Linked DNA regions of Cricetulus griseus. The protein of the gene in region 2 purifies or fractionates together with the protein of the main gene of each other region. This does not show direct contact. Links are inferred from orthologs where the notes say so. Each region holds a gene or a part of one and is shown on either strand. Other genes may lie near its edges. The genes, in order: Sirt3 and Hspd1.

Region 1 (4,485 bases), on a different chromosome or scaffold from region 2:
CAGCCTCACACTGAGAGCTGAGACACTGGGCCAATTCTCCCATCAGATGGCCCTAATGACCAGGATAGAGGCCTCTCCAATCAGATGGTGGAACAGATTAAACATCAAATTGGCCCTCCCCAAATAAATGGCTAAAGTTAATACAGCCATAAAGCAGGCAACTAAGAGTATGTCTTTTACTCATAATACAATCAAGAATAAAGATGCTAACAGTACATCTTCAGACAGGGCAGTTCAGAGCCTCTCTTCTAGCAGGATGATACCAATACAGGGTTTACTCTTTGTCACTGCCTTTGCTCCTTACAAAACTGACTTCTCATCATGCCACCTGCTTTCCCAGAAGCTCTCCTCACACCATTGCCATTCTAGTGACAGTTCTAATCCTTCATTTTAGCCAAACAAAAGGCTTGTTTGTTTTCATGTCCTAAATCCTAGTGATTCTAAGTAACCCTGTCCCAACCAGCATATTCTGCCTGAGAAGCATGGTCTCCTCTTGGGAGTATCATAATCCCACAAGGTCAAATGTTTGCTGAACCCTAAGGATAATCACTGACCCTCCTCTTAAAGGCAACAGTGCTGGCTCCCTCTCCTATTAGGGTGTCTATCAGCTCTCTCCTCTGTGCACCTGCAGTACACAGCTGCCCTATCCACACAGTGTTCAGTTATCCAGGGACTTGTGTGCCAACAGCAAGCCAGGAGTAACCCTGCAGCACCCTGAGCCTCAGCTGACAAGCTCAAAGCAAGGAGGCCAAAGATGACTTTTGTTTTGTTGCTGTTGCTGGTGGTGTTTTGTTGTTCTGGGGGTGAAGAGGCAAGAGCTTTCTCCCAGAATTACATCCCAACTCCTAATTCTTAGTCTGATTTGGAGGAACCTATGTTTATAAACCTCTCACCAGAGTGTACAGAACAACAACAAACAGGAGAAAGACCTCAGCTCCTCCCACACTGCAGAGATGGGCTTCTAAAGAAGGTCCTTCTGTATCACAGTAGGGTATAAACGCACTTTACCAAGGTCCCTCTGCTGAGCCAAGGCAGTGAAACCCTCCAAGGAGCTCCCAGTGAAAACAATAAAGAATGAGGAAAAGAAAGCTCTGGCTCCAAACCCACATCCCTCCCATCAAATACCCGAATCTCACATAGCACCTAGGACGGTTCTTGCCCTAACATTTGCTGAACTCCTCTTAAATACAAACCATATGAGAATACAAAAGGGTCAAGAGAAAAGTTGTGACCATTGCTGAGTGCCTGACAACTGCCAGATATCCACGTCAGGGCACATAAGGGACATTTCTTAGTCACCTGCCCACAAAAAAAAAAAAAAAAGTTTGCAAAGTCACTGACAATATCTAAAACAGATTTAAGGTATAACTTAAAGTACATTTACATGGTATAGAAAGCTCCTGGGATGAAGACACCAGAGGCTGGCATTAAGTAATGTCTGAGATACTATAAAGAGACAAAGGATGAAGTCACCTACGAGTCCCAAAATCTAAAATCAAGAGCAGAAGAAATACAAGGCCTGATCAGGTTTGATCCTCAGCACCAAAAGAAAAAGGGAAAGGAAAAGAAAAAGAAAAAGAAAAAAGAAAAAACAAACAAACTTGTACATCATATTGGTAAACTGCTGTGTGTTGTTTGAGCTACTGAAAAGCTGGCTTTGGGGGCTGGGCTGACAACTCCCATTTCTGACCCATGTTGGTCTCAAAGTCCAAGGTCTGGATGGGCTGGCTCCCCCAACTGTGTGATAGGAAGGGAAAGGAACAGCAAAACAACCCAAGAGTAAAAGCACTGCCCATGAGAACAGCTAGAAGGTGATCCAATTCCAGGAGGTTCCTATCATTTATCCCAGCATGTAAAAGTGCCTACAGAGGAATCTCAGACACCAAGGAAAAGCTCATCTGGGAACTCCAGTTGACTATCTGAACTTCCTCTGTCGGTTTTTGTTGGATGCAGCAAGTGTCCAACTTGATATTGTCTCTCTCTCTCTGTTGCTATTTGTTCCTTTACTGAAAAACTTCAGCAAACGGGGCACTCTTTTCTGCCCTCGACTCTCTTTACTGGAAGCTCCACCTGGCTACCTTAAAGGGGTTTCCTCAGTAGATTTCTACTGGATTTTTTAAAAATATCCAATGTGATGATTTCTCTCTCTTAATAAACTCACTCATTTGAAACTGAAAATAAGCCTATCATAGACCATTCTCAGGACTATACAAAACATATTACTATTCTGCAGACAGTATGACTGTTAGTGAAACTTTAAACTCACAACCTTCATGGGGGACAATTAAAACATAAATAACAGCTGGATGTGGTGGCACATGACTAATCTCAGCAGCTGGAGTTGGAAGGAGGAGGATCGGGAGTTCAAGGTCATCCTCCTTCATACTGCCAGCTGGAGGCAGGTATCGACTAGGAGACCCAGTCTCAAAACAACACAAACCACATAACTTTACACAAGGCAGTAGGTCTACTGGGAATTCATGCTCAAAATGGGGTGCAAACAAAGTTATTCAAAACGTCGTTATTTGCAATAATACGAGATTAGAAACTATTTCGATAAGGAAATGGTGACATAAAGTATGAGACATCCATACAAGGAACTTCCACAGAACAGTTCAAAGACTGTGCTGCAATGGAAATAGCTACATTAAAAAAAAAAAAAAATCTTTAAAGAGATGAGGTACTGATGAGGCCGGTCAGTCGAGCTTTGTGGAAGAGCGCACCTGCCAGCTTCTCACTACCGCAATTGCTTTCCGCTGCCCGCCCCTAAAACACCTCTGACAGCCTATCTGAGGGACCCCGTGGCTTCCCCGCCGTGGCTCACCTCCCGGGCCCCACAGTCTGAGCGCGGCCAAAGCCAGTCGACCGCTCAGCGCCATGATGCTCTGCTGGGAGACGGCACCTAGAGGGTCAAGTGCCATCCGAATCCCCGCCCCCTTGCGCCAAGCCCCGCCCGATACCCTTACCCCGCCCCCTCGGCCAGGTCCCGCCCCCCAGCACCAACGCTCCGCCCCTCACATGGTGCCCAGCCCGGCGCCCCCGGCACGTTAACCCGCCGTGCCGAAGGGGATGTGTATGCTCGCTGCGGCCAGCTTCCCGCTCTGTGAGACTCTGGCTTATTGGTTGGGAAGCCAAACTCGGAGGCGTCATCGTTTTACCCTGCGCTCGACCTTCTAGACCGGGTGGATGATAACTAATGCTCTCTGAGCGCTTCCCGCGGTCAGGAATTTGATCACACCTAGTCCTCGCCGGACGCCATCCCAGTTTGAGAGGACCCACGTCGGAAGACTTGAGACCACTCGGGGACCAGCTGTCCCCGGGCACCTCTACGCTAACGCCTCAAGGGCGGGGCCGAACACGCGGGACAAGTTTGGCCCAAGCCAAGAACGCGGTTACCTTGACGACCGCGATCGGCGGGGCTACTGGGAAGCTCCCGGCATGCCCCGCGCAACGCGGTGCCGGAAGTGAGCGAGCATTTCCGTCCGCCATCCCTGCCGGTTCCGAGTACTTGGTGTTTCTCTTCCCAGCTCTCTGCAATCATGAAGGATGTGCCGGCCTTCTTACAGCAGAGCCAGAACTCCGGGCCGGGCCAGGCCGCCGTTTGGCACCGTTTGGAGGAGTTGTACACGAAGAAGTGAGCTCTGCGGCGTGGGCGGGAGGGAGAGGGCTCTGGGAGCAGCAGGAGGCTCTGAGCAGCCCCGAGGGTCAGGGAATCAGAAGAAAAGGAGCTACAGCCAAAGGAGCAGAGCTGCTTGCTACCAGGGTTCTGAATCTAAACCCCCTGCTTTGCAGCCTTACCGGCTATGACAGACTGTCTTAACTAAAGGGGGGCCCGGACTGGCCTGTGATGGTAGCTCTTAATTCAAACAAGCAAATAGTTTTGAGGCTAGGGTGCCACCGCGTCTGGGTCTGCCACAGACCCTGGTAACTTGTCCTAAGCCGTGGTGTGATTGTCTACAGCCTGCAAATTCTTCATGATTCTACAACCTTTGATTCAGCCCCCATTGTCCCTGCTTTCTGTTGTATTTCACATTGGCCTTTTTGCCACTGGAGAGACCTTAGTGTTTGAGTTTGATTGGAAACGAGATGGACTTCAGAACAGTTACAGATTGCTGACATTGATCTAGAGCTTTCCCTGAGGAAACACCTTTCCACAAAGATCCTTTCCGTTCGTGTGTTTTGGTGGTATTCAGCAGTTTTCTGCTATTAGTGTTTTCAAGAGACGTTTTCAGTGTTGAGTATCTAACTGCCTGTGTGGGCTAACATTTTGTATTCCCCAGAGCACTTTATCTGCACTATTAAATAGTAGCCTTTAGTCTTTGTGTGAAATGTGCTACATCAGTGTCCTAAAAATATGTATATTGGCTTATTTCATCTCTCCTTCATCCCATCCACGGATGAGGAAACTGGAGATCTGTTTTCTATCCCTCTGTAAGACATTCAGCTAATAAGTAAGAGAGCATGGAGTTCAAAATACAGCTGTAG
Region 2 (4,413 bases):
ACATGCTCTTACCTCTCCGGATTTCTACTGGATTAGCCCCTTTGCTGATCTTCTCAAAGCCTTCCTTGGCAATAGAACGTGCCAGAACAGTAGCAGTGGTAGTGCCATCCCCAGCCTCTTCATTTGTGTTATTGGCAACATCTTGAACAAGTTTAGCTCCGATATTTTTGTATTTATCCTTTAGATCAATTGCCTTTGCAACAGTGACCCCATCTTTTGTTACTTTGGGACTTCCCCAACTCTGTTCAATAATCACTGTTCTTCCCTACAATGACAGAATAACAACCCTCAACCATAAACTTCAAAGTTGTCACTTTTAACAGTCCTGAAACGTGAATCTCAAAGGTCAAGTTAATCAACATTCTTAGGTCTATAGACAAAAGGAACTCTGAGGTACAACAGTAGATAACATCCCCCACCCACCCAAAGAGATGCCACCTATTAAACAAGATAGCACAGGTGACAATCACCAATCCTGGAACACCCTTCCATCACTTGTACACGAGTTTTGGTTATGAACTGTTATTACTTTTTTATTAACTGTTGCTTTTAAGTACAATTTACTTGAACATCCATTCACTAAATATCAGCCAGTAAGTTTGTTCTTAACTTACTGTTTCCTGCTCATGCAATTCAAAACTTCAAAACTGACACCAACAGTATTGGCAACTTGGATTTGAACCAAGCTATTCTGTCTTGACCTATATAAACAGCACTTTACGAAGCTCTTTAGATGGCTTTAACGTCAATTTAAAGCAACTGTGCCCCACATCCAATTATGTCCTCAAAGTACTATGGCTCCTTATTCAACCACACAGATGAGTGACTCCAGCCTTGGATCTCAGCAATGATTCAAGGTTCAAGCTTGCTTGGTCCACAGGAGTTCCAGGTCAGCTATGGCTAAAGACCCTGTCTCAATAAACACCAGATGAATAGTATACTAAACTGTTACATACCTGGGACAATCAGTTCAAGGATAGTCTTGGTACAAAGCGAGTTAGAGGTCTGACTAAGCTATCGAGACTCTTAAAAACCCCAAACCAAACTTTTGGAATGTGGAAATGGCAGAGAAATCATGAGGTATGCACAATGGAGGGATAAATGGGAGACCAGATAGCCTTTTCCATGTGCAAGTGAAAACGGTTCTGGAGATGTGTGATGGTGAGTTACAGAACAATGCAAACGAAGTCACAAATATTAACTTAGGCTGGACAGATGCCACAGTGGTTAGGACCCAGGTTCAATTCCCAGCACCCACATAGCAACTCACAATTGTAACTCCAGTTCTGGGATCTTCACATGGGTATACACGCAGACAGTACACCAATGCACATAAAAATATAAATAAATCTAAACTCTATGCTATCGCATCTACTGTATGCATACTGTAATACTTCAGTACAGTTAAGTAAAACCTCACATCTACAATTACACTCTGAGGTGTTACTAGTCTTGAGCTGTCCTTTCCCCTCTATACCCTCTAACTCCTGGGAAAGGATCCAAAATTTAATGCAAGCATTCACACAAGATTAATTACGCCTAAAGTTTGAAAATCCTCCTTGAGCTATTACTACTCTATTACATCATGTTGCACAAAAGTCCCCCAAATCGGCTGCAGCAGTATTAAGGCCACCAACTAACGAAACTCCTAAATAACACCCCCAAATCACTTAACATGTACTACACTCAAATTAGATTTTCATAAAACTTGTTAACAAATACTGTCTAATTTGCAGCTACAGAATACTATTCTTTTATTAACACGATTTAAAGTATACTGATACCTTTGGCCCCATTGTAACAGCTACAGCATCCGCTAAAAGGTCTACACCTTGAAGCATTAAGGCTCGAGCATCTGCACCAAATTTTACATCTTTGGCATAGGCCCGAGTGAGATGAGGAGCCAGCGCCCGGGACACTGGTCTCATCTGGCGAAGGACTGTGGGTAGTCGAAGCATTTCTGGGAGAGGGGGGGAAAAAAAAAAGCAAAGGATCACTACTAGTTACGGACAAACTTGTCCACCTGTGCTTCAGAACATGGAGGCTAGCTAGACTGGAGCTTGGCAGTCCTCTGCTAACCGCCACGCCTGGGCCACACACGGCGCTGCAGCTTCAGGACATCAATTGCTAGCAACGGATTAAGGAGGCCGCCCCCATGCTCGCTTGACCTGCAGCCCTAGCACACAAAACCATTCCCCATGGCCACCCACTCCTGCCACCGCGAGTTAATCTTTCACTGGCAAAGCGGCCTTAGGAACAGATCCACTCCAAAAGTGTGTGTGGGGGGGGCAAAAAAATCAAGCTGGCGTAAGCGAGGCAGGTTCCAAATGCAAGAGCACAGGGAACTATACAAGTACTCATGACGGTGCAAAACCCCGCTCAGGAAAAGTGACGCCAGGTGTCCACCCGGAGCTACGGTAGCACAGCAACTAGCAAGGCCGCAAAACCCAGGACCGCAGCTCAGCCCATTCGCGCGGCCCCACGTGTCTGCCCGACAAGGAGCCCCAGGCAAGGTCAAAGTAGAGGCGCCGCATCCCCGCAGCCAGAGGGGACGAGAAGGGACCGCGACCACCCTCCGACAAGAGTCCTGCAGTGCGCCAGGCGCAGGTGGCACCAGAGGGCCCAAGTGGCTCCCACCCTAGCCCGTCCTCGCTCCCGCGCTTGGCCTGGGTCGCGTGGTCCCCGCCGCACGTGATGAAACCCGCGTGGCCCCGTCGGGCCTGGACAGGCCGGCAGAGCCTGCGGCGTCGCTGCCAGCCTTGTCCCCTAGCCCGCCATGCTCGGGCCCAGCCGGAAGCAGGCCGGCGAGCTCCCGGGCGCCATGCACGTCGAGGCCGTGTACCTGCGGGGCGGCGGCGGGAGGGCACGAGGCGAAGCAGGCCGTCGGCGGCGAGTGAGGGACCGAGCGCAGAGCGCGCACCGCAATGAGTCCGAGTCCCCTCCCTCCGCGGCCCCGCCCCGCGGCCCCGCGTGCGCGCGCGCCCCGCTCCCTCCCACGCCCGGGCCCTGCAATCAGCATGCGGCGCGGGTGGCCCCGCCCCCCCCGTACCCGAGCGGTCTCAGCCCCGCGGGCTCAACCCTCTCCCGCCGCCCTACGCTGGTTCCTGGGCCTCGCTCCGTTCTAGAACCTTCCGGAAGGGCGCTGCGCCTCCCGTGGGTCAAGGGTCAGGTGGCGTCATTTCCGGGAGGAGGACGAAGGGCTCGTTCTTTCACCTCAGCGGGCCGCCTGGAAAAGCCTAGAAAGCGCGCCCCTTTTCTTCCGCCTCCGGCTGCCCCCTTCGGCGGCCTGCGCGGAGTCCTCGCCACCAATCGGCGCGCGCGCTGCCGTGGCCGCCCTCTCTCACGCTCGCGGGGGGGGGCCGCGTGCGCCTGCGCCTGCGCGCTGCGTGGCTTTTTCACGTGTCCCGAGCCGGACCTCAGGACTCTCCTTGCAGCGGCGGCCCGAGTGCAGAGTCCGAGCGGCGGCGGCGCGAGTCATGGTGAGTGTCCCTGGGCTGGCAGGCCTGCCTGCGGGTCGGGGTCCCCCGCGACCCACGGTGTCCCCCCCTGTGTGCCGGTTTAGCACCGGCAGGGCAGGGGGCCACGCAGTGTTCGGCGCCCGCCCGGGTTCCGCAGGAGCGAGGCCTGTCCGATGCGGTTCTCCACCACGGCCTCTTTGCACGCACGTGTGCTGCAGGAGCCCGGGGTAGGGGGCGGGAACCCGGATGCACACTCAGTAGCCCACCTGCCCTGCCAGGGCTTTCATGGACGTATACTGTGTTGGAGAATATATGACCCAGCTCAAAAATTGATACTCTCTCCCCGGCGTTACTAGAATTAAAAAAAGAAATCTAAAGAAGGAAAACGTTTGACCTTGGAGGAGACCAAGGTTGTGGTTAAAGGTAGTGTGGGTGCTGATGGGCAATGAAGACACCCCCCCACCCACCCACACGCACTAAAATATACAGGGTATGAAACATCCAAGAATATTTTCTAAAGGCACACCTAGATTTTTCTTGTCAGTTTGGGACGTTTGACCCGTTATAGGTTAAGGCATGCAGCGGTATTAACTGTTCGTGGTCTGACGCTGCGAACGCAATGACAGTCCGTTTGAACACGTTTCTCTCCGCAGGCTGGACAAGCTTTCAAAAAGTTTCTACCGCTCTTTGACAGAGTATTGGTTGAAAGGAGTGCCGCCGAAACTGTGACCAAAGGTGGCATTATGCTTCCAGAAAAGTCTCAAGGAAAAGTATTGCAAGCAACAGTAGTGGCTGTGGGATCAGGCTCGAAAGGAAAGGTAACTGGGAGCTACTACAGCAGTACTGAGTCTTATATGTGATATGGAAGGAAAGGAGTAGAAAATCCTAGATTACCAAGTGGCTTTTAAAATAGTAGATGTCTTTTTTTGAAATAATTTAACTTCACAAAGAACCG

Evidence for each region.
Region 1: the proteins of Hspd1 (region 2) and Sirt3 purify together in Homo sapiens (affinity purification with mass spectrometry; 3 studies listed by BioGRID and IntAct, counting the BioPlex papers as one, with this or other methods). This does not show direct contact. The link is inferred for Cricetulus griseus from reciprocal best matches to the Homo sapiens genes HSPD1 and SIRT3.

What each region holds. Positions count from the first base shown.
Region 1 is NC_048596.1:60,311,397-60,315,881, reverse strand, and holds the start of Sirt3 (NAD-dependent protein deacetylase sirtuin-3, mitochondrial), read right to left. Parts: upstream 2,880-4,485; coding exon 2,825-2,879; intron 1-2,824. Other genes in the region: Psmd13 (26S proteasome non-ATPase regulatory subunit 13), read left to right, coding at 3,540-3,634.
Region 2 is NC_048595.1:409,526,519-409,530,931, forward strand, and holds the start of Hspd1 (60 kDa heat shock protein, mitochondrial), read right to left. Parts: upstream 2,968-4,413; 5' UTR 2,843-2,967; exon of another isoform or gene 2,762-2,842; intron 1,961-2,761; 5' UTR 1,959-1,960; coding exon 1,785-1,958; intron 266-1,784; coding exon 13-265; intron 1-12. Other genes in the region: MOB-like protein phocein, read left to right, coding at 3,477-3,479, 4,112-4,276. UniProt on the Homo sapiens protein: Chaperonin implicated in mitochondrial protein import and macromolecular assembly. Together with Hsp10, facilitates the correct folding of imported proteins.